Struthio camelus: one gene and its partners. The protein of the gene in region 1 purifies or fractionates together with the protein of each later gene. This does not show direct contact. Links are inferred from orthologs where the notes say so. Each region holds a gene or a part of one and is shown on either strand. Other genes may lie near its edges.

What was found. The genes of interacting proteins can lie anywhere in the genome.
Region 2: the proteins of POLR2J (region 1) and RPRD2 purify together in Homo sapiens (affinity purification with mass spectrometry; 3 studies listed by BioGRID and IntAct, with this or other methods). This does not show direct contact. The link is inferred for Struthio camelus from reciprocal best matches to the Homo sapiens genes POLR2J and RPRD2.
Region 3: the proteins of POLR2J (region 1) and RPRD1A purify together in Homo sapiens (affinity purification with mass spectrometry; 3 studies listed by BioGRID and IntAct, with this or other methods). This does not show direct contact. The link is inferred for Struthio camelus from reciprocal best matches to the Homo sapiens genes POLR2J and RPRD1A.

The regions. Positions count from the first base shown.
Region 1 is NC_090957.1:14,405,063-14,412,511, reverse strand, and holds POLR2J (DNA-directed RNA polymerase II subunit RPB11-a), read left to right. Parts: upstream 1-4,894; 5' UTR 4,895-4,991; coding exon 4,992-5,044; intron 5,045-5,207; coding exon 5,208-5,297; intron 5,298-5,443; coding exon 5,444-5,618; intron 5,619-6,382; coding exon 6,383-6,418; 3' UTR 6,419-6,938; downstream 6,939-7,449. Other genes in the region: ras GTPase-activating protein 4, read left to right, coding at 1-83, 488-605, 729-882, 983-1,047, 1,460-1,572, 1,672-1,864, 2,515-2,652, 2,900-3,044 and 6 more; LRWD1 (leucine-rich repeat and WD repeat-containing protein 1), read right to left, coding at 7,076-7,216. UniProt on the Homo sapiens protein: Core component of RNA polymerase II (Pol II), a DNA-dependent RNA polymerase which synthesizes mRNA precursors and many functional non-coding RNAs using the four ribonucleoside triphosphates as substrates.
Region 2 is NC_090971.1:2,706,822-2,714,682, reverse strand, and holds the start of RPRD2 (regulation of nuclear pre-mRNA domain-containing protein 2), read left to right. Parts: upstream 1-4,854; 5' UTR 4,855-4,909; coding exon 4,910-5,117; intron 5,118-7,861. Other genes in the region: PRPF3 (U4/U6 small nuclear ribonucleoprotein Prp3), read left to right, coding at 113-226, 323-441, 1,063-1,146, 1,593-1,654, 1,988-2,134.
Region 3 is NC_090943.1:68,678,585-68,685,749, forward strand, and holds the start of RPRD1A (regulation of nuclear pre-mRNA domain-containing protein 1A), read left to right. Parts: upstream 1-4,158; 5' UTR 4,159-4,265; coding exon 4,266-4,416; intron 4,417-7,165. UniProt on the Homo sapiens protein: Interacts with phosphorylated C-terminal heptapeptide repeat domain (CTD) of the largest RNA polymerase II subunit POLR2A, and participates in dephosphorylation of the CTD by RPAP2.

The sequences.
Region 1 (7,449 bases):
AACGTGCCGGGGCTGCAGGCGGTCCGGCAGGAGGAGGGCTGGTTCCGGCTGCAGCCGGACAAATCCAAGCCGAGGGAAGCCGAGTGAGTCTCGCTGAGGGATGGCGTGCGGTGGGACGCGTGAGGGGCGGGCGGTCACACCAACTCCGGGGCCTGCAGCGTGTCGGGAAGGGGTTATTCCGGGGACGTGCCCTTCGTTTGGAGGAGCAGTTCCTGGGAAATGCCCTGCCCTTGGCCACGCTCTTCCCTTCCTTTGGAGGAACAATTGCTGGAAAATGCTCTTTCCTTGGAGGGACAATTCCTAGGAAAGTGCTCCTCCGGAGAGGCAATTCCTGGGAAAAGCCCTTCACTCAGAGGCCAAGAGCTGGGAGGGCAAGTGCAGGGCAGCTCTACGTGCCCTCCGAGGATGTCCGAGGCTGGGGGCCGGGATGTTGGGACGCCTCCTGCTCTGGGAGGTGCCTCTCCATCCCACACTTGTCCTGTCGCAGAGGCAACCTGGGATCTCTGCAGCTGCAGGTGCGGCTGCGGGACGAGACGGTGCTGCCCTCCAGCTGCTACCAGCCCTTGGTCCAGCTGCTGTGCCAGGAGGTGAAGTCGGGGCCCCAGGTGAGCATTGCCCCTGGCCGAGTGTGCCCCACGTGTCCCAAACACGTCAGCTCCTCCCCAGAGGGGGGGGGGGGTAATCTGCTTCCCTAGTGCCATCATGTCTTCATCCCTTGTCCCCACCAGGATGGCAAAGTGCACCTGATCACCCTCCTTGATGAAACCACCACGGCCGAGTGTCGGCAGGAGGTGGCCATCAACCTGGTCAAGCTCTTCCTGGGCCAGGGGCTGGTCAAGGAGTTCCTGGATCTGCTCTTTGAGCTGGAGCTGGCAAAGCCGTGTAAGGCTGGGAGCTGGGGCTGGTGCGGGGTGGCCGCAGGGTGGGTGACACCTGCCTGTCGCTGTCCCTGACATGCGACCCTCCCTGTCGTGTTTTGCAGGCGAGCCCAACACTCTCTTCCGGAGCAACTCCCTGGCCTCCAAGTCGATGGAGTCCTTCCTCAAGGTGCTGCGCGCTGCCCCCGGCATGGGAACGTGCTCTGCCCCCCTGCTGGCCCGCCGGGCTGCACCCTGCCTGCGGCGGGCCCCTGCTGGGAGCTTTGGGGTGAACCCCAATATTTTCAGGTTGTCCCAGCTCCATGCTGCCCCTGCTGGTGCCTGTGTCACCCCCCGCCCTGGGAGGGGGGTTGGCTCTGGGCAGGAGGGATGCCCGCAGGGATCCCTGGCCCTGGCCTGCAGGGATGCTCGTTGCTGGGCGGGGATGTGCCAGGAGGTGGCTGGAGGCTGCACAGAAAGAAACAATCAAAGTAACCCTGGGCGGCTCTTAGCAGGGGGATTTGGGGTGTCTGTAGCGGGTGCCGCTGGCAGAGTGGCAGTGGTGTCCCCAGCACTGTGTCCCCTGCTCTGTCTCTTGCCAGGTGGCCGGGATGCAGTACCTGCACGCTGTCCTCGGGCCCACCATCAACCGGGTGTTTGAGGAGAAGAAGTACGTGGAGCTGGACCCCAGCAAGGTGGAGATTAAAGACGTTGGGTAAGGGGCAGCGCTGCGGGATGCGGACGGAGGGGGAAACGGCAATCTCCCGAGGGCCCCCCAGCCCCCGGCGGGGCTGACGGCAGGCTGTGTCGACAGGTGCTCGGGGCTGCACCGCGTGCAGACGGAGAGCGAGGTGATCGAGCAGAGCTGCCAGCACCTCCAGTCCTACCTGGGGGAGCTCCTGGCCGCCATCGCCAAGTCGGCCCCGGCCTGCCCCGCCATCGTCCGCGCTGCTTTCCGCCAGCTCTTCCGGCGCGTCAGGGAGCGCTTCCCTGAGCACCAGCACGAGGTGGGCAAGAGGGGAAGGCCCTTGGGGGGATGATGGATGATTCGGGGTCCTGCTCTCCCTCGGGGGTGGCCGCGCTCTGCGCCAGGAGCCTTGGCTAAGGCTTGGCATGGGCTACGGGACCCCAGGGTTCCCCTCTTCGGCAGGGGTTGGGTGCTTCCCACTGGGAACGGTGCATGGGGAAAGCAGGGCACGCAGCACCGAACTGCAGCTCCCAGGAGGCCCCACAGCAGTGGCTCAGAATCATGAGACTTTCTGCTTTCAGTTTATTTGAAAATTGGGGAATTTCCCTTGGAGATTCCCAGGGGATGGGGGACTGGAGGCATCGCCCCCCATAGCTTGGAGGCCCTGGGGAAGATGGGGCTCATCTTTGCAAGGTGAGGCTCTTTTGGCCCTCGTCACCACAATTTCACTCCCACCCTATTCGCAGTCACATCCCACATAAATATGGGATTCCTGCTCGTGCCGTGGAGGCAGCTGCCACGGCCTCCCCGAGGCACCAGTGAAGGAGCCCTGGGAATAAATCAGCATGTGCCCTGCCCGGGGAATGTCAGCCCTCGTGTGTTGTGCCTTCACACGTGGCTCATGCCCTCGTGAACATGTTGTATGCCTTGTGCCCTCATGTGCGTCCTGTGCCCCCTGCGTGGCTGCAGAACGTGAAGTTCATCGCCGTCACCAGCTTCCTCTGCCTCCGCTTCTTCTCACCAGCCATCATGACCCCCAAACTCTTCTACCTCCGGGAGAAACACGCCGACTCCCGCACCAGCCGCACGCTGCTTCTCCTGGCCAAGGTGGGATGGGGACACAGAAAGGGTCCCTGGCACCTGCTCTGGGTCACCTGGGCCTGTTTGGGGAGGGGTGGAAGGCTAGGGTCCTGGTGCTGTGTCCTCCTGGCCAGGGTGCTGCGTGGCCCTCCTGGGGTTTGCTGAGTGCCCAGCCGCCATGTCCTTGCGGGGCTGGCTGGTGAGGAAGGGCCAGGACACCTGGGGTCTTGTGTGGTGCCTGCAGCTCTGACTCCGCTGTCCCTCATGGCTCCAGGCCATCCAGATCGTGGGGAACATGGAGGCGGCAGCAGGCCGGGCCAAGGAGGCCTGGCTGGCCCCACTGCAGCCCGCGCTGCAGCGTGGCGTCACCCGGATGAAGGACTTCATCACCGAGCTGGTGGGCATCGAGGAGAAGGAAGGTGAGGGAGGTGGCTGTAGGGACGGGCGCAGCCCTGCGGGCTCCCCCTGACAAGCACGGGGCTGTTCCCCACAGAGCTGGACTTGCAGAACGCCCTCACCCTGCAGACGCTGGTTGTCAAGGAGGGCCCACTCTTCGTCCACAAAACCAGGGGCAAGGGGCCGCTGCTCTCCTCCTCTTCCAAGAAACTGCACTTCTCCCTCACCAGTGAGGCCCTCAGCTTTGCCAAGACCCCCAACTCCAAGGTATGGAGGGACGTGTCTCAGTAGGGCTGGCGTTGCATGGGAAAGGTGCTGGCAGAGCCATGGGCCCCATCTTGGGGACGTGTGCCACCCTGGGGTGCTGGGCTCTGCATTGCATGGTGGGTCAAGGCTGGCGATGGCGACGTGGCAGTGCCCCATAGCTCCCTCCCTCCAGTCCTTGGTGGCTCTCAGGTGTCTCCAGAGGCTGCAGGGAGGGTGCTGAGCCCCACTTTTCCCTCCATCCCTGGTGACAGAAGAGCAGCTCCATCGCACTGTCCAACATCCGGGCAGCTGAGAAGGTGGAGGAGAAGAGCTTCGGCAGCTCCCACGTGATGCAGATCGTCTACGTGGACGAGGAAGGGCAGCAGGAGACGGTGTACCTGCAGTGCAAGGTGGGCGTGGGGGGCCGGGGCCGGGGCCGCCGTGCACATAGGCCCCCCCCCCCCCCCCCAATCACTGCCCCGTCCCGTCCTGCAGTGCGTCAACGAGCTGAACCAGTGGCTCTCGGCCCTGCGCAAAGCCTGCGCCAACAACCCCGAGATGCTCTGCTCCTACCACCCCGGCGTCTTCAGAGGGGACAAGTGGAGTTGCTGTCACCAGAAGGACAAGACGGGTATGGCGGGGCGGGCAGGGGACGGGGGCCGGCCGGGTTCCCCGCTGGGGAGCGGCGGGGCCCGAGCGGCGGCGGGTTTGTCCCCTAGGGCTGGGCTGCGACGCCAGCCGCCACGGCGTCACCCTGCAGGAGTGGAGCGACCCGCTGGAGCCAGACATGGAGGCGCAGCTCATCTTCCGCCACCTCTGCGGCCTGCGGGAGCCCATGAGGTGCGGCGGGGGCCAGGGTGGGGGGCTGGGGGGCCACCCACTGCTTGTGGCTTCATCCCTCTCGCTTCAGGGAGAGGTACCGGGAGCTGCTGGAGGCCCAGGAAACCCCCAATGGACCCTGGAGCCGCCCTGAAGGTAGCGTGGGTGGTGGGGCGGCCATTTTGGGAGGGAGGGACCCCCCCCCAACAACCTGTGGGGGGTGGGTGCCAGGGGAAGGGGTGCTTCAGGGGGCCGCCGGCCTCACTCTGCTCGTCCCCCTCCACAGGGGGGCCGCTGCCCGAGGGGCTGGGCCGGCTCCTGGCCGTGCTGGGGGACCTCGAGGGCTGCCACTGCCGGGCGCACCCCGCGCCCGCCCCCGGCCCCCTCCTGGAGCTGCAGACCTGAGGGGCCCCCCCGCGCCCGGGGACGCCGCCACTGAGGGGCACGCGGGGCCTCCCCGCCCCGCGCCGCCACCGCCAAGGCAATAAAGGCTCCTCGCACCCTGCGCCCCGTCGTCCTTCCTCGGCGCTGTGGGGCGGCGGGGTGGCCCGGGGGGGGGGGGGAGGACTGAGGACAGGGCGGGTGGCCGTGGTGCCATCGCTGATGGCAGCACTAAGGGCGCTGATGGTGACATCACTGGTGACGCCATCTGGCATGGCTGGTGGCCCGGGGGGGGGGGGGGGCATCGCTGGCGGTTCCGCGGGCGCTACCGCGGCTGGCGGCGCTGCTGGGGGCACCGCCGCCGACGTCACTGATGGCGCTGCCGCCGACGTCACCGCGGCGGCTGCGCGGAGCCCTGCGGGGCGCTGGAGGCGGCGCCGCCGGAAGCGGGAGCCGGCGGCGGGCGGAAGTGACGCGCTGGGCGCTGTGGCAACGGCGGGGCGAGCGGCGGCGGCGGCGGCGGGATGAACGCGCCTCCGGCCTTCGAGTCCTTCCTGCTCTTCGAGGGCGAGAAGAAGTGAGCGGCGGCGGCGGGAGGGGGGTCCCGGGGGCCGGGCGAGGGCGGCTCCGCGAAGGGAAGCCCGGGAGGGGGAGCCCGGTGCCCCGCGGCCCGGCCCGGGCGGGCTCCGCGTTGGGGCGGCGCCGGCGTTGACGGGGGTGTGTGTGGGGTGTGCGCGCAGGATCACCATCAACAAGGACACGAAGGTGCCCAACGCCTGCCTCTTCACCATCAACAAGGAGGACCACACGCTGGGCAACATCATCAAGTCGTGAGTGGGCCGCGGCCGGGGGGGGGGGGGGGGCGGCCGTTGGGGCGGCCGGAGACGCTCGCGGCGCTCAGCCCGGTCGGGGGCTGCGGCGGGTCTAGCGGGTGCTGGCAGCAAAGCATGGCTGCCCACTGCTGCTCCCCTTCCAGGCAGCTACTGAAAGACCCGCAGGTGTTGTTTGCGGGCTACAAAGTGCCGCACCCGCTGGAACACAAAATCATCATCCGCGTTCAGACCACGCCGGATTACAGTCCCCAGGAAGCTTTCACCAACGCCATCACAGACTTGATCAGTGAACTCTCCCTCCTGGAGGAGAGGTTCAGGGTAAGCTTGTTTACTTTAGCTTTTATTCTATTTATTACTTGCAGAAAGCTCACCTGCTTGAAAGTTAAATGGAAGGGGTAGTGTATGTTAGAACTGCTGCCATTTTTAGGCAATGAATTCATCAAAGCTACGTGCAGCAGCTCATAGCACAAACAGCTCCTGTCAAGGGATGGTGACGTCTGGCCGCCCTTACGGGGCAAGGGGGGAGAGGGCGGGGGGGGGGGGGGTGCGCTGGCATACCCTACAAGAGTTAAATGGGTGCTTTGTCTTTCCTAGTTGTCCAGTATTGGATTTCTCCCAGTTTTATTGGAATGGAAAACAATTCTCTAGTTCTTCCAAGTCCCCTTTTTTTTTTTCCCCCCCCTTCTGCCAAAACTCTTTCAAGGGACAGTATTTGTTTTTAATACTTTTTTGGTTAATTGTGCTCTAATGTACAATTCTATTTTTTTAGCCTCAGATCTTTTTTAGATTTAATCTAGCTGAAAAGTATGTCAGACAAAAGCAGGGAGAGCTTTGAATAACGTAGTATATGTGTAATATTCTTTGATATGCTCATAAAAGGTAACAGTGCACTAGGAATTCTTTTGCCAGTATGTTTTGATTTTACTTTAAATATTATTTAGCATGTGGCGCAGAGATTTCCACTGTTTCGCAGTTGTTCTTGTGCTTCGCAGAAGACTGATACCTATGTTTAAAATAACTTCTTCCATCTCGGTGATATTTTTTGTCTTAGTGTCTGTATTTTTTTTTTGTTTGTTTTACAGGTTGCCATTAAAGACAAACAAGAAGGAATCGAATAAAATTATCATGTTTAGAATGGACTGTACCTCTGGTATAGAGTGATATGGCTATTAGTTGAATGCTTTATCTGAACCGTCATTCATGGCAAAGATTTTCTACTTGTCCCACTCGTCGTTTAATTCTTGAAAGTAGTCGCAATAGTTTGGGGCTTTTTTGGGTCCTATGCCAAGAGGATTAAAGTCTTGTTTGATTTGATGGATACTTCATTAAAATCACTTTTTACTTTTCTAATTGGAACCATAAGGCAAATACTTGTACTAGGCTGCTGGCAGGGGTGTATGTTAGCCTAGTGACTGTACTTCCAGTGTGAGAAGTTCCTGAGTGATAGGGGTGGATGAACTCTCTTAGCACAGCCCCAATCCTATATATATATATGTGTGTGTGTGTGTGTATATGTTTTTCAAAAAGTCTTTGCACTGCCAACTGAACTGGTATTTTGTTTTATTAAGTGTCAGTTCTATAAAACAAATGCACAAATTGTGAAAACTTACAGTAAAAGAAACTGGATGTTTACAATGACTTGAGGAGTTGTAACAAACTCTTCCCTTTTTCTCTTGCATGATAATAGCTGGTCTAGAAAATATGGTTACATGGGTAACAGTCACTAATACTGCACTATTTCAAAGCACGGGAATGAAACTTTCCATTACAAGTAACTATGACTTCTTCCAAATGGCTGTTATGTTCACACTAGTTAGAGCAACAAGGTAAGTGAAGGTGGGGTCTGTTATCACATTGTTTATTAGGACTTCAGTCAGCTGCTCCCCATTTGCTCGAAGCTCTGGCCATTTGAGAATCTAGGAAGAGAACAGAGTTTTTGTGGGTTTTTTTTCTTTCTTTCTACACAAAGACAAAAGGAACAGTATTGCGTCTGTAACTTGGAGGATACTAACTACTGCACGTCCTAGTTTGACAATTCGTTTGCTGTGGAATCTGCTTCCAGCACAGTGCTACATCTCTACCGACCTGGGGAAGCTGACTGGAAGAGTCCTTCCCCTTTTTCATGGCAGGACATACACCTTTATGATGT
Region 2 (7,861 bases), on another chromosome or scaffold:
GGGGTCTGTGGGACATGTTCTGTGTGTGACACTAGAAGGATCAATTTGGATGCCGTGAATAGACATGCGGTAGGCCGCATCTCTGCTTATTGCGGTGTCTCTTCCCATCCAGAGCTCATGAAGAAGCAAATGCTGCAAGAAAACTAACAGCAGAACAACGAAAAGCGAAGAAAGTTAAAAAGCTCAAAGAAGATATTTCACAGGGGGTGCACATAGCTGTGTATAGGTGAGCGCTGAGCTCTGTACTCTGACAGATTTTTTTTTCTTTCATATGCCTATTTCTATTAGACCTGACAAATGACAAATTCTGTTCTGTCTTTAGGGTCAGAAACTTGAGCAATCCAGCAAAAAAATTCAAAATTGAGGCAAACGCTGGCCAGCTGTACTTAACAGGCGTGGTGGTTTTACACAAAGATGTCAACGTGGTCGTGGTAGAAGGAGGTGAGGACTTTGGAGACAGGCTTTTGGACACGACATAATGGTCAAAAGCTTGCCTCTAGCAAAGATGCCTGCATGTGCAAATCACTGGCTGAGGTTTATGGAAGGATGAGGAGAGCAGGAGGCAGTTTAAAACTCCCTTAATTATAGTTTTAATGGAGTTAGCACTGCCTACAGAGCATTCTAATCCAGTTAGAAAACCCAGAGCACTAAATGTTGGAGGAAAGCATCAGTTAAGTGTACTTGATTTGAAACCATGATACTCTCAGGGTTTGCTTAGAGCAAGCAGGGTCGCAACTCTGAGTCTGCTGCAGTGTTCACCATTTGCATGGCTCTAAGTATTTTTGTAAGGTGTTGCAAGAATCTGTTTTGCAGCAGGAGGTACTGAGATGATCTAGAGCTAAGTGTCATCCCAAAGGCCACAGGAAAGCTTGGGCATGCCAGGAATTGCTTGTGCTGGAGTTGGCCTGGCCTGTGTTTTACCTGTCTTGCCTGGTCAGCTGAGTATGCTTTGAAAGGCTTAGTTGTGTTTGCAGGTGCCATTTGGCTTCTGCTGCTTCTTAAAACCTTCTAAAAACTCCGAGTTGAAGAACTGTGTGAATGTGAATTTGCAATTCTCTCCAGGCCCAAAAGCACAGAAGAAATTCAAGCGTCTTATGCTCCATCGAATAAAATGGGATGAACAAACATCAAACACAAAGGGAGAGGGTAAGCATAAAACTACTCAGGGAGAGGGGTGGCAATAGATTGAGATAAAAGTTTTTCTAGAGTGTTGGAAAGTAGACCTAATTATAATTTAAATGCAGCACTCTGTCATGCACCAAGAGCCACGCTAGTGCTGGTCCTCCGCTTTAAATGGCAAAAAGTCACAGAGTGTGAGTGAAGGGGGAGATTTGTCAACCTTCAGGTGTTTTGGGTGTAATAAAAGAAAGGGAGGTCCTAGGTGGTTGCCTGAGGTAGGGGATCCAAGCCCAGAGCACCAGGTAACCACCAAAAACGTGAGCTGGGGTTTGCACAGAGATGGCAGCTGTAACTGCTGTCCATCAGGAGAGGTGCTGTGAGGGGTAGGTGACTTAGCAGTGAGGGTTGCTGTTGTTTCACCTGCCTGGGGGACTACAACTTCCTTATTTTTTTTTCTTTTTTTTTTTTTTTAGATGATGATGAGTCTGATGAAGAATCTGTTAAGAAAACAAACAAATGCTCTCTGGTTTGGGAGGTGAGTGGCGACTTTAGTTAAATATGAGTCCCAGGAGCTTAGACTGGATGGAAGCTAAACCTGTAACAGAACAGCTGAAGCAGAAACCACTTAATTGTTCTGAAGCTTTGGACCAGATGAAATCCTACTGGCTTGATTCTTTCTGCGCACATTTATTTAACTATAGCAGAATTATGAGCACCTCCCCCTGCACAATGTAACCCATGCTTTGTGGGGAAGTCTGGCTAATCATTTGTTAAACTATTAATAAGTTTATTCCTGGGTTTGCTGTGTATTTCCAGCTATTTTATCCCGGAGATGCATCCAAAAAAGTGTCCCTTTTCTCTGTTTCAGGGCACAGCAAAGGATCGCAGCTTTGGCGAAATGAAATTTAAGCAGTGCCCCACTGAAAACATGGCACGGGAGCACTTTAAAAAGCACGGAGCAGAGCACTACTGGGACCTGGCTCTGAGCGAGTCCGTGCTGGAATCCACAGACTGAGGGTGCTGCCACCCCCAGCATTCCTGTTCATTTGAGAACAATACCTCGCAGGAACTTGGACGAGCCCCTTCCTCCCCTCCGGTCTCCACAGTACAAGGCATATGATTAAAGAAATATTTTTTAAAACAAACCACAGTTACACTTGTTTTCTGGATGAATTCAGCTCTTGGAGCAAAACTGCTGGATGGTAGCATCCAGCCATCAGCCGTGCTTGTAGGTGTCTCTTGCTTTCTCTGGAAAGGATTCAGTTTTGGGGTAGTGGGAGAGAAACTGTTTTCAAGAATATCTGTAGTCCTTCAGGAAAAACAAGCAGTCTCAGACTGAGGTACTAGTGCCTCGCCACTGTGTCAGGTGCTTGGTAGGTGAGGTGTGACACTGGCCAGGGTAATCGGTGCATGTAAAGGTCATTTCCTCACTGGGGAAGTTGTTTAGGTGAGCCCCAATGGTCTAAAGGTTGCAGGTAAGGAACATTGGAATTTGTAAAGCAGAGTAGGAGACGGGGACTTAGCCCACATCCTATATTTACATAATAAACTTTTTTTTAAAAGGAAGCGCAAGCTGTGTTTCTTTACATCGCTTTTTCTGGCAGTGTGTGGTTCCTGCAGGTGGTGGGCTGTGCTGGACTCTTGCCTCTGTTTCACACTCAAGCTTGAATTGAGTTTGGAAAGATCTGACTGCTGTCACACTTCTGAAATGGGAGCCTGAGGGCTGGCAGTCAGAATTGTTGCTGTCAAGCAATGAAGTTTGGGGAGAGCTTTTTGTGTGCCCTTTTTTAAATGATAGGGGTTATTGCCCCAGCTGAGCTTCCTCCTTGGAAGCTAAATTGCTTTGGAGAAACTCAAAGCTCCCATTTGCACGGAGCGTATTGCTCCAGCCACTGTGGCTATACCCTGCTTTTCTTTGCTGTGGGCTGAGGCTTGTTCACAAATCTGCAAAACAGTGCCAAAGCTGTTTCACTGACTCCTGTCTTCACCTGTAAAGGAGAACAAAGGGGGGGGGGGGCAGGGGAAAGCTGGGAGAGACTTTTGAGTTTTTAGGTGTGAGGCCCTGGAGGAGGGTTAGCTGGGGGGGGTGGGCAAGCAGAGGCTGGAGGGGGAAAGCCTGGATGTGCTAAGAAAGGCTGAGGTCAAGTTTTGCATGAGTACAATGCATGATACAGCAGAGGGCTGTGCTGCCATTCAGAAGGAGCTTGACAGGCTGGGGAGCTGGAGCTGGAGAGGAACCTCCTGAAGTTCAACAAAGGCAAGTGCAGGGTCCTGCACCTTGGGAGGACTAACCCCAGGCAGCAGTACAGGCTGGGGGTTGACCTGCTGGAAAGGAGCTCTGCAGAGAAGGACCTGGGGGTCCTGGTGGACAACAAGTTAAGCATGAGGCAGCAGTGTGCCCTGGTGGCCAAGAAGGCCAATGGTATCCTGGGGTGCATGAGGCAGAGTGTTGCCAGCAGGTCGAGGGAGGTGATCCTGCCCCTCTCCTCAGCCCTGGGGAGGCCTCCCCCTGGAGTACTGTGTCCAGTTCTGGGCTCCCCAGTGCAAGAGAGACATGGTGCTACTGGAGAGAGTCCAGCGGATGATTAAGGGGCTGGAGCTCCTCTCATATGAGGAAAGGCTGAGAGAGCTGGGCCTGCTCAGCCTGGAGAAGAGAAGACTCAGGGGGTTATTATTAATGTGTGCAAGTATCTGAAGGGAAGGTGTCAAGAGGATAGGGCCAGACTCTTCTCCGTGGTGCCAAGTGATAGGACAAGAGGCAACCGGCACAAACTGAACTGCAGGAAGGTCCACCTGAACATGAGGGAAAGCTGCTCGCTGTCAGGGTGACGGAGCACTGGCACAGGTTGCCCAGAGAGGTGGTGGAGTCTCCTTCCCTGGAGATAACTCAGAAGCCGTCTGGATGTGATCCTGCGCCACGTGCTCTAGAGGACCCTGCCTGAGCAGCGGGGTTGGACTAGATGGTCTCCAGAGGTCACTTCCAACCTCAACCATTCTGTGGTTTTGGGCATAATGGAGCGATTTGCTCCGCGGGGCCCCTCCGCAGGGCCCCACCACGGCCGGCCAGCGCCATGCTGGCGCGCAAGGCAGGCTGGGAGCGCGGCCAGCACCACCGTCGCCGCCGCCGCGCAAGGGCTGCCGGGACCCCCGCGGCGCCCTCCGCCCTGGCTCACGGCCCGCCCGGCTCCACGCATGCGGGCTGGGCCGCACGGAGGTGGGAGGGGGGAAGGGCGCATGCGCAGAGTGCACTGTGGCGGGGGCGCCGCGCTTGCGTACTAGCCGGCAGGCGGCTTGGCGCATGCCCCGGAGGGGGGGGCGCGCGTGCGCGGCGCGGCGCGGGAGGAGGGGGAGGCGCCGGCGGCGCGTGCGCAGTGCCACCCCTGGGGCTGTTGTGAGGGAGCCTCGTACAAAATGGCGGCGGGGGGGCGGGCTCTGCGCGCCGGGAGGGCCGGCGGGTAACCGGCCGTTGGCGCAGCCCGGGCAGGCGGGACGCGGCCGCCCGCGGCCGATTAAAACCCTCCCGGCGGAGGGCGAGAGGAAAAGAAGGGAGGAAGGGCGGGCGCGCTCCCGCTGCCTCGCTTCGTCGGCTGCGCGCGCGCGCGCGCGCGTCCACCGGGAGGAGGGGAGCGGCGGGCGCGCGCGCGGAGGGGGAGGGGAGGGGGAGCGGCGCGTTCGCCCCGCGCGCCCCCGCCGCCGCGTGCCCGCGCCCCCCGCCTCGCCGCGGGGGGGGGGGGGGGGGAGGGCGCCGTCCGCGCTCCCGCGGCCCCGCCTGGGCGAGCAGGGCAGGAAGATGGCGGCCGGCGGCGGAGGCAGCGGCAAGGCCTCCTCGTCGGCGTCGTCGTCGTCCTCGGCGGGCGCCCTGGAGGCCTCGCTCGACAGGAAGTTCCAGGCGGTCACCAACACCATGGAGTCCATCCAGGGGCTGTCGTCGTGGTGCCTGGAGAACAAGCGGCACCACAGCACCATCGTCTACCACTGGATGAAGTGGCTGCGGCGCTGTGAGTGCGGGCCCGGGCCCGGCGGGAAGGAGACGGTGGCGGGGGGGGGGGAGGCCCCGGGATCCCCGCACGCACCTTCCCCTCCTCCCCTTCGTTGGAGGGGGGGAGTGCGGCCCCCTCCACCGACGGGAGGGGGCAGGCAGCAGCCAGAAGGCTTTTCCTGCACGTACCCCAAATCTGAAGCCCTCGGGGTGCCCCCTTTGTGCTCCCGAGTGCTTTGCAAAATCCCTTTAAAAACCCACGTATTATGTATGCCCTGCGGGGCGATGATTTACGCTGGCTGTCCAACCTGTGCGGTGCCAGGGCTGCGTGCGCCGCTCTGGACCGCGCTTGCCTCGGATCAGCCTCGCTGTTTAGGCGGTCACCGGCCTGCTGCAGGATGGTTGGGGTATTTTGTCCATCAGCGAAAGTCACTTGGATCTAGTTTGTGTGGAGAAGTTTGGCAAAGTAATTCCCAGCGTTAGCTTAAAAAAATGCCGTTTCCTTCCATCTGATTCCTTTTCCTTGATTCATGTTGGTGATACAAATGAGCGCCGTGTAATTAAAAATATAGAAACGCTTCTTACTTAATCTCTTGCACCATGCCTGCGTCTTGAAAAAGATGTATTTCTAAGTGTGAAAAGCTCTCTTTCTATTTTTAGAATATTCTTGGAAGCATGAAGTTAGAGAGAATTTCCTACAGCCTTGTGTTTTGGCGGGTGCCATGCTCTCTTGTCCGGTTCCTGCTTTTTAGTGCTTGCTGTTTTGTTTGGATGATTTGTGTATTTGATTGTCAGAAAGAAGGGTACAATTTGGGTGGAAATATGTAATATTTGTGATCGTGAGCATTCTCTTGCAGTTTGACAAAGTCCAGGGCTGGTTGTGAAACTCAACGGAGTGCTGAGAATGTGGGGAGTGTTGTGGGAAGAAGGGGGTATAGTTATCTGCTTGTGCCAGGAGTTTCCAACTTAACCTTTAAGGAGTGAACTGAAATCTGAGGTTCTCTGGGGCATGATTGCTCAGAAGTCTTCTGGCATCACACAGCTTCTGGGCAGGTTTTCTGCTTAGCATCACATTTTAATGCTTTAAAGAAAAAAAATCTGACCTTGTTGCACCTGAATGGTAGTACCCTCAGCCTCCCAAATGCTTGCCTGAGTTATTTTAGTACATTACTTTGAGAGGTGGGGGAAAAGATGTCTTAAGCATGATATCAGCTCTGATTTGGGATCAGGGAGCATCACTGTTCCATTCCACAGATAAAATAGTCTGTTTTAGTCACAAATAAGAAGAAAAGTATGGGATGCTAAAACTCAGATTTGGTGAACTCTAGCAGCAGATGCAACAGTAACCTGAGAGCGGGAAAGTTAACGTTTTCACAAGTCTAAAAAAGGCTGAATTATCTTTACTATCACACTATGTATGAAGGCTTTGCATGTTATTGATTGAGCTAAAGTAAGCTTTGTAGTAATGCACAGATAATACTCTAAAGTGTCATTCCAGTTTCTACTAAATCTTTTGTAAAGTTTGGGATAGTTTGTTTTATGTATTGAGGCAGTCCTGCAAAGTGCTTAGAGCCCTCTTTTCCATTTTGGCTTGCGGTATATGAGGCCTTCAGCTGCAATAAAGCAGATCTGAAGCTTCAGGTAGGGGCTATCCTACACTGGCCTGATACCTTGTTATGCAGGAAGGTTAAGAGTAGTGACAGGTTAACTATTGCCTTGTCTGTAAGTGTTATGACTGTAGATCCTCATCAGTTGTAGTCATGGATTTGGATTCCTGGAATTTATGTGGAGATAAAGACAGTGTGAGTAGCTGTTGCTGCTTCAGTTCAGCGACCTGTTTACATTTTAGCAAAACGTGACTTATTTTGGACCAGAAGGCATTAGGAACTGAGGTTTTGGCGCTGAATGTGGAAAGAAGACCCATGTTGTGAGAAAGATTTTGCTATGGGCAGCCCAAATGGAATGGGGCAACTATAAAGCTAAGCCTTTTCCATGCTCCTAACTCTTCTGTTTTGATTACGCTTGGTAACCAACATTAAACAGCCTGTTTCGAATGTCAGCATTAAAGAGTGTAATTAAACTTTATTCTGAGCTACCATTGAGCTCAGGTGTCTATCACAAGTCACTAGAGCGTTATTTTTCTTCTGTTGTTCTGATTAGAGGAGAAATCACATAAAGCTCACTAACATTTTGATTGATATTTTTTTTCTGCCTTGTCAGTGCACCAAGTGGTGATATCTTAGAAAATAATATAAGAATCGGAGTATTTGTTTCTAAGAAATGGCTCTTTCTAATCTGTAGTGACCTGCTCGTAATCAATCTGTCCTTTGCCACTGTCTTCACACTCTTCTCCTTGAAATCCTGTTCCATTTCATGGTCTGCGGTAGCTTGTCCTTTTTGTCCAAATGAGCTTCCTCCAAGCTGCGTCGTTCCTTGAGGAACTCCACGGGACTCTGTCCTTGGTCCTCTTCTCCCTCCCAATTTTTGAGTAATCTCTCCAAATAAAATTCAGCTCTCATCTCTGTACTGAGGATTTGCAGGCGTGCTTCAACTCTAGAAGCACTAGACACGCTTTGGTGTCTCTTGCCATTGTGGGAATTTTGGCCCTTCTTTGGAGTATCTTGGTGAACGTCTTGCTCTAGGTCAGGCTCAACATGACTACAGCATCGGTAACTTAAGGCATGATCCTCATCTTTGACTTGAACCTCACTTTTAACTCTGTGCATTCATGCAGGGCATAAATCTTGCATATTTATTTTCTGC
Region 3 (7,165 bases), on another chromosome or scaffold:
ATTTAAAAGACAATCTGTAAACTAAGGTGAACAGAGCAGCCCTAAGCATAGGCAAAATAATATTTTGAGTAACATTTGAACGCCAGAGGCATGAGGCATGTCAAGCCATCCCTGCCTTGGGCAAGAAGTGGGAAAGCAAAAAGACAAAGCTGGGACAGATAGCCAATAAGAATGTAGGGCCTGCAGAAGTGAACTTGTTATGCCTCCTGGTAGGAGACTGGGAGAGCTGGTGCTAGTGATTACTGCTGCTCCTGGGAGGGGCTGCTCGGCTTCTCCAGCAGTACCCTAACACACTCAAGGGCACATTTTTGTGACACTGGCATAAGTACTGTAGGTAGAGGAGCTATGCCCATTTTGCTGTTCTGGTCACTCTACTAACCAAAGCAAACCACCTACTTTGCCCATGCCTTAAGCCTTATCTGAAAGACGAGAGATGCAGAGTTGGTATAGACAATCTACCTTATCCCTCTCAATACTATGCTCTCTTAACTTTTGCCCTTTCTTGCCAGTTTCAGAGAAAATACATAAGCCTGTGTTATCTTATCTTTTGTTTCTCTACCTTTATAATTTCTGGATATAAAAAAATCATGCTTTTGTCTTGGAGCAGCTTTGTTTTGATCATGGCTCCAAGAGTACAGGGAGCTAAACTCAGTAAGCTCTGCCGAGAGCTGTGCAGTCCAAGAAACAGGGTTCAACCTTCTGATCATGAGGTGGAAGGACTCAGGCAGAGAAGGAGCACATATATAGTTTTGTGGCTTGGCATAGTTGTGAGACAGACCTATAGTAGAGTCAAGACACTGCATGCCCTTGTCATCTTGGTAGAACCAAGCCTTCTCTTTGAACTAACACTAGATGACAGAAATGCTTAGGTATTTGGCAAAAACAAAAACAAAATAGAATGACACAGACTGGTGGTGGTGTATGCGGAGGGTGCTTTCACTTTTTCCACAATGCACCACAAGCACTGTTATTTTAGAGACAGATCAGCCCTTCTAGTGCTAAAACACTTCCTAAGATTCCCTCAAGGTAAGAGGGAATTCCAGTTGTTACTAGAGTGAAATTCCGCATTTAAGAACAATTTGATGTGGATGTCCTTCAGTGAGAGGAAATGAGAAGCATAAAATCTGCTTCTAGAACATGAACATACAGTGTATAGATGCTGTAAAGCCTTTTGGTGACTGCTAGTGCAATCTGAGATGTAACTACATTTTTGAACTACCTAGAGCTTCCTGGGCCCATATTCTACAAAAACATCAACTCCGCAATTTAATCACATTCATTGTCTTAGAACTCACATGGGGTCAATTCTCTGGGTACTGGAGAAGACAGTGGACTATCACTAACCCATGGTGATCAGATAGAAGTGCAGAATCAGACAGAAAGGCAGCAGGGCATAATTTTGCTCTTAGCAAATTAGAGGAAAGATGTTATTATGGTTTGAATACAGCAATGAGCGGAAGAAAACGTGACATCTGTTTATAACTCTGCCCTTGCAGAGCTGGGTGAATTTTTCAAAAGCAAGTGAAAGAGCTGGGACTGTTTAGCCTGGAGAAGAGCCTGGAGAAGCCTGATAAATGTTTATCAGATTATTATGTTTATCAGACTCAGGGGGAATCTCATAAATGTTTATAAACATCTGATAGAAGGGTGCAAAGAAGACAGGGCTAGATGCTTCTCAGTGATGCCCAGTAACAGGACAAAAGGCAATGGGAACACACTGAAAGACAGAAAGTCCTGTCTGAACATAAGGAAAAACATTTTTACTTTGAGGGAGGTTGAATATTGGAACAGGTTGCTCACAGAGGTTGTAAAGTCTCCATCGTTGGAGATATCCAAAACCCAAACGGACACAGTCCTAGGCAACCTGCTCTAGCTGACCTTGCTTGAGAAGGGGGGGGGGTTGGATCAGATGATCTCCAGAGGTCCCTTCCAAAGCCAGCTAATCTGTGATTCTGTGAATAATTCACCAATTGTTCTCTGAATTAAAGCTTCTCTGAATTAAAGCTGAGGTTTTCAAAGCTCCAAAGCAAACGAATATCCCATTGTGAATACTTGTTGTTTGAGATTCAGCTGACTTTGATTAAGTCTCATAGAAAACTCTGATTCTCTGACTGGATGAGCATAGCTTTTAGAATTAGATTATTGATGTAAACTTTTACAATTAAAAATTTAAAATGTGCTATAAATTCTAGTTTTGCTGTATAACACGTAATAATCATTTAGTCCTCTTGCCGTTCAAATATATTTATTTGCAGAATAAACAAAATACCTATCTCAGAGGATTTATCCTTGTTTATAAAATGTTTCGAGAATCTGGGATGAAGGATGCAAAGGAAGCACTAATAAGCATTACTGCAATTACTACTAACATTCTCTAGACCCGCTTTGTTATTTTTCCTTATCTTCTCTGCTTTAACTTCTAAAGTTTGCCCAGTTAGTTGTCAGATCCTTTTTCATCCACTATTGTGAGATAAATCTATATCTTTTTCCATAGTTGCACACAACATTTTCCACCATTAACTTCAGAATGTGCACCTCCAGAAAATATTATTTGAAAGTTAATTTCTAAATTGCTATTCATATTTAATTTTGCTAATGCTTGCATCTATGTTAGCTCTATCTTAATTTTACGTCAGTGGCCAGTTCTATATAATGCCAACAGTGTCCTCTGCTGTACCTAGCAAAAATAGCATGGTACTACACATTCTCTTTCATTCATGATTACCAAATTGCAGTGAAATTATAAAAAACAAGACTTCCCAAAGATTAGTGCAGCTCTTTGCTTAAATTCTTCTGCCGGAAATCATCCAAAATCATCAAAGCCGGACAGAAACAGACGATTTTGTGAATAAAATTCACCTGAAAATATATAACACCCCCAAGGTTTTATGTTTGACATGACTCATACTTTAAAAAGAACCAGTATTAAGAAAATTCCCTGAAAAGAATGCTCATGAGAATCATCTGGGCCATCTTCTCTGAATGTAAGACACGAAATATGGAAAAAAATTAGTTTTAAAAACATTTTAAAGATTTTTTCACAACTAGCTTGTTGCTTTTCAGTAAGAAGCAACTGGATGTGGATAGGGTTACAGGAACACTGTTTTAAGGGTGAATACTTAAACCACTGTCAGGATGCCCCCAAGTACAGTATAAGCATATTTTTCTTACACATATAATTGTATAGAAATATTAAAACAATATCTGTGACATTGCCTGCAGTTGTAATGATTAACTACCCAGAGAAAGGATTCAGGACGAATCTGTAGGACCTAAAGTGCATAGTCAGTGTCAGTTACTCAGTGATATTTAAAATAAGATGTGATGTGAGACATTTTTAAAAGAGAAAGACTAAGACTAGAAAAGCTACACATGCCCGGCAACATACAGTATCTTCCACCCAGGCACAATACTAAATAGATTTGGATTCTTCAGCTTGAAAAAGAAAATACTGAAGACGACACAATATGAAATCTCCAAAACGATGAACACCACCAAGAACCTGGGCATGGAACAACTTTTATTCACTGTTCCCACAACAGTAGAACTAGCGGGCATCCATCAAAGCTTTTAAGGGAACAGGTTTGAAACAAGGAAGAGGAAATGCTTCGGCACATAAACCATCATTATGGAATCATTATGGAACTGTGCCACAGGGTGGGGTCAAAGCCAAGAATTTTAAAAAGAAAAAGAGAGTGAAAGAAAAGGTTTTTTTTTTTTTTAGAAAAAGGTTGCCGAGGGCAAGAGAAGGCAGAGGGAAGGACTTAAGCGAGCTGCCCCGCGCCCTGGTGTGGCTGCGGGGGCACACTGTCGCCCGCCCGTCCACGTCCACGCCCAACCCCCCCCCCCTCCCGTCACCCCTCCCGTCACCCCTCCCCAACGGTCGGGCGGTTGGGGCACGCGCGAGGGCCGCTGGGACACGCGCGCGAGAGCGCGCGCACAAAAGGCGGGAACCGCTCCCAGCACTCCCCTCCCCTCCCCTCCCCTCGGCCGGAAGTGAGGCGCGGAGGAGGAGGGGCGGGGCCCGGCCCGGCAGGCCTCCGGGAGGGTCGGCGGCCGCCGCCATTTTGTTCGCGGCGGGCTGCCGGGGCGCGCGGAAGTGGCGGCCGGCGAAGCGGGAAGGGAAGGGCCGGGGAGCGCCGGGCTCCTCCCCCGCTGGGCGGAGCGGCGGCGGCGTCGTCGACGACTGAGCGCGGCCGGGCCGCGGGGGCGCTGGCGGCGGCGGCGAGGCCGAGCAGCGGCGGCGGCGGCGGCAGCGGCCCGGTATGTCGGCCTTCTCGGAGGCGGCGCTGGAGCGGAAGCTGTCGGAGCTGAGCAACTCGCAGCAGAGCGTGCAGACGCTGAGCCTCTGGCTCATCCACCACCGCAAACACTCGGCGCTCATCGTCAGCGTGTGGGAGCGGGAGCTGCGCAAAGGTGAGGCTGCCGCCGGCGCGGGGCCCTCGGCCGCCCGCCGGTGCCGGGTGGGGCCTTCGCCGGGGACGGCGGGGATGGAGGTGGTGGCGCCTGGCCCGGCTGCGGGGGAGGGGGCCGCCCTCGGGGCTGTGCCTGCCCGGGGAGGTCGGCCTGGTCTGTCGAGACGGCGAAGGGGCGGGGAGGGGGAGGCCGCCAGCCGTCCGCGGAGCTACCGAGACAAGTAACAAACCCTGCTTTCTTGATGACTCTGGGGTTGGGAGGTGTTTCTCCTTTCTCTTCCCCCCCCCCCCCCCCGCGGTCCCCCTCTTTCTCCCTCCTTCCTTCCCTCCCTCCCAGAGATGTTTCTGAGGATGCTGCTTTTCGTGTTGACTTGTCCCTCCCCACAGCGGCAAGGAAAAAAGGGGCAAAAGAAGGGAAGGAAGGCAGCGAGCGCGGGGTATAGGGCTTCTTGTTATAATAGTAATAGGTAAGGTACTTACAACATAACCGTTTTTATGCGTTATCTTTCGTTGTCTGCAACAATGTTAGCTTTGAAAGGGTCTGTGTGGGCTGACATGGTGGCTTTGCCCACTTATACCAGCAGTTATTCTCGTGGAGCAGCTGAAGATGGGAATACCTCAGGGGATGGGTGATTAATATGTCCAGAGGGGTTATTTACTTCCTGTTTTTGCAAGTGGACTAATACTGATGTTAGCATAATACGGATGAGTTTGTTTCTTTAGATGTATTCAGTTGATGTTACTGAATGCACAGACTTAGATTTTTGTGTGGCTGTCCTTTTAACAGGAAAGAACTTGCAACTGTAGAAAGTGGTTCAGCCACTGAAAGGCAGAGATGGCCTGTGAAGCCTTACCTGACCTGCCTAGAAAGTAACTAGATCTTAAGTTGACTCATTTAAAAAAAAAAAACAAAAAAAACCAGAATTACTTCCTAGAGCTCTAGCATGGTCTAGAAAATGTTATTGCCTTCCAATAGCAACTTTTCTACTCTCAATAATACTTGAATCTTTAATGGCAAAAGTAGAGGGCTAGGTTTTCAAGTGGAGAGGAAAAATGGAGCTAAGCCATTCCCTTAGTTTCAAGCGAATAACAGGAGAATATGACCTGCAGAAATGGTATTTGTTTTGGTATGCTAAGAGTGTAGGGCTGGATCATAATTACCTCTTAGGTTAGAGGACATAACTTCATAGAAAAAGGATTGAACTACCATAGAACAAAAATCTTGAATATGAAACAGTACAAAACTTTACAGTGCAATATGGAAGCAGGTTCTCATAAACTCTGTAGATATTCACATGACTACTGTATTTTTGTTTAAAATATATTTGTATGAAATGCTGTCTTTTGAACTTTCAAGTCTGAGTGTTTTTCCCCTTTAGAAGAAGGAATGACACATTACAGGATGTTTTAATACATAGTTTCAAATAATTCAATTTATTATCTAAAAAAATGTAGATTTGATGGCTTATCTCATAAGACTAAATAAAAATATTTCACTATATGGTTGTTGCAAGATTTTTTTATTTTCTTGTTCTGACAGCAAATGAATGGGTCTTTCATCTGCATATGAAACACTTCATGTTCCTGGGTCTTCTAAAATAAACAACTTCAAATTTTCAGTGTTCTCAATGATTGGTGCTCTGCCAGTGATTTGGTCGTCTTGAATAACATGCATAGTACTAGTTCATAACAAAAACATCAACGCTCAGCTCTTAAACTTTAGCATTAGCATAATTTTCCTGTTGTCCAATATGAGTAACTGGAAAAATGAAACTTTAGAAACATGGGCTGAATATTTGGAGGGGGCATTGGGAGGCAAGGATAAAGCCTCTGTCAAGAACTGATGGGTATGCTTTGCTTTCTCGCAGCTTTCACTGAGGCAATACTGTCCTGGAACTGAAAATTGAACCTTGCCTTTCTAAATCTTATATCCTTTGGTTGTATCACCTTTTTGTTGTTGCTCCCCTTCTCCAAACCTTTCTACCCTACGCCCTTTCAGGCTTGTGAAAGATTTGGCTAAAACATTGCGTAGCTGACTGAGTTGAACACAATATAGTATGAGATTGAATTTTTCTGGATGCTTTCAATTTTGATAAAAGACCCTTTTTTGTGTTTAGATCAGGTTGCATAGACTTTTCTTAAGGTGACTTTAGCTATTGATGAAACAGAGTTAAGATCATTGTTCTTTTGCTCCTAAAGATTTGTTTCTGATTCTTTGCCTTCTGGAATAGTTAATGTCTGTATCATGCTGGAGTAGAAGTGAAGAGGGGCAGCACTTCAAATGCACATATAGGTTATTGGGCACACTAAAATCGTAGTCTGCTCCTGTTTACTTGGATTATTGGCAGTGTTCTAATACCATATTACAGCATATGTACAAATCATCATATCTTCACCCCTTCACCTACAATTGTTCCATAGTTGAGCTTTCATTGATTCACTTGTTGTTCCTGTACTTAAATGCAAACTTAGAATGGGCAACACTTTCATGCCTTTGCTGTAACTGAGAGGGGTTATGTAACACTGGATTTGTCTTGCTAAATTCTGGTGTTGCTAATGATTTGTTAAGTGTTGATATGTCTTCAGTAATCAGATATACATACATCTATGTTTTTATAATACTGCTTTCACTTTTGTCTGAAGTTCTTTAAAATGCTGGCATTTAGCATACATAGGATCGTTCTTAGGAACAGTCAAAGCTTGGAGGAAAGTTAGTATGATGTGTTCTAGAATTGACTGTTTAGCAAAAG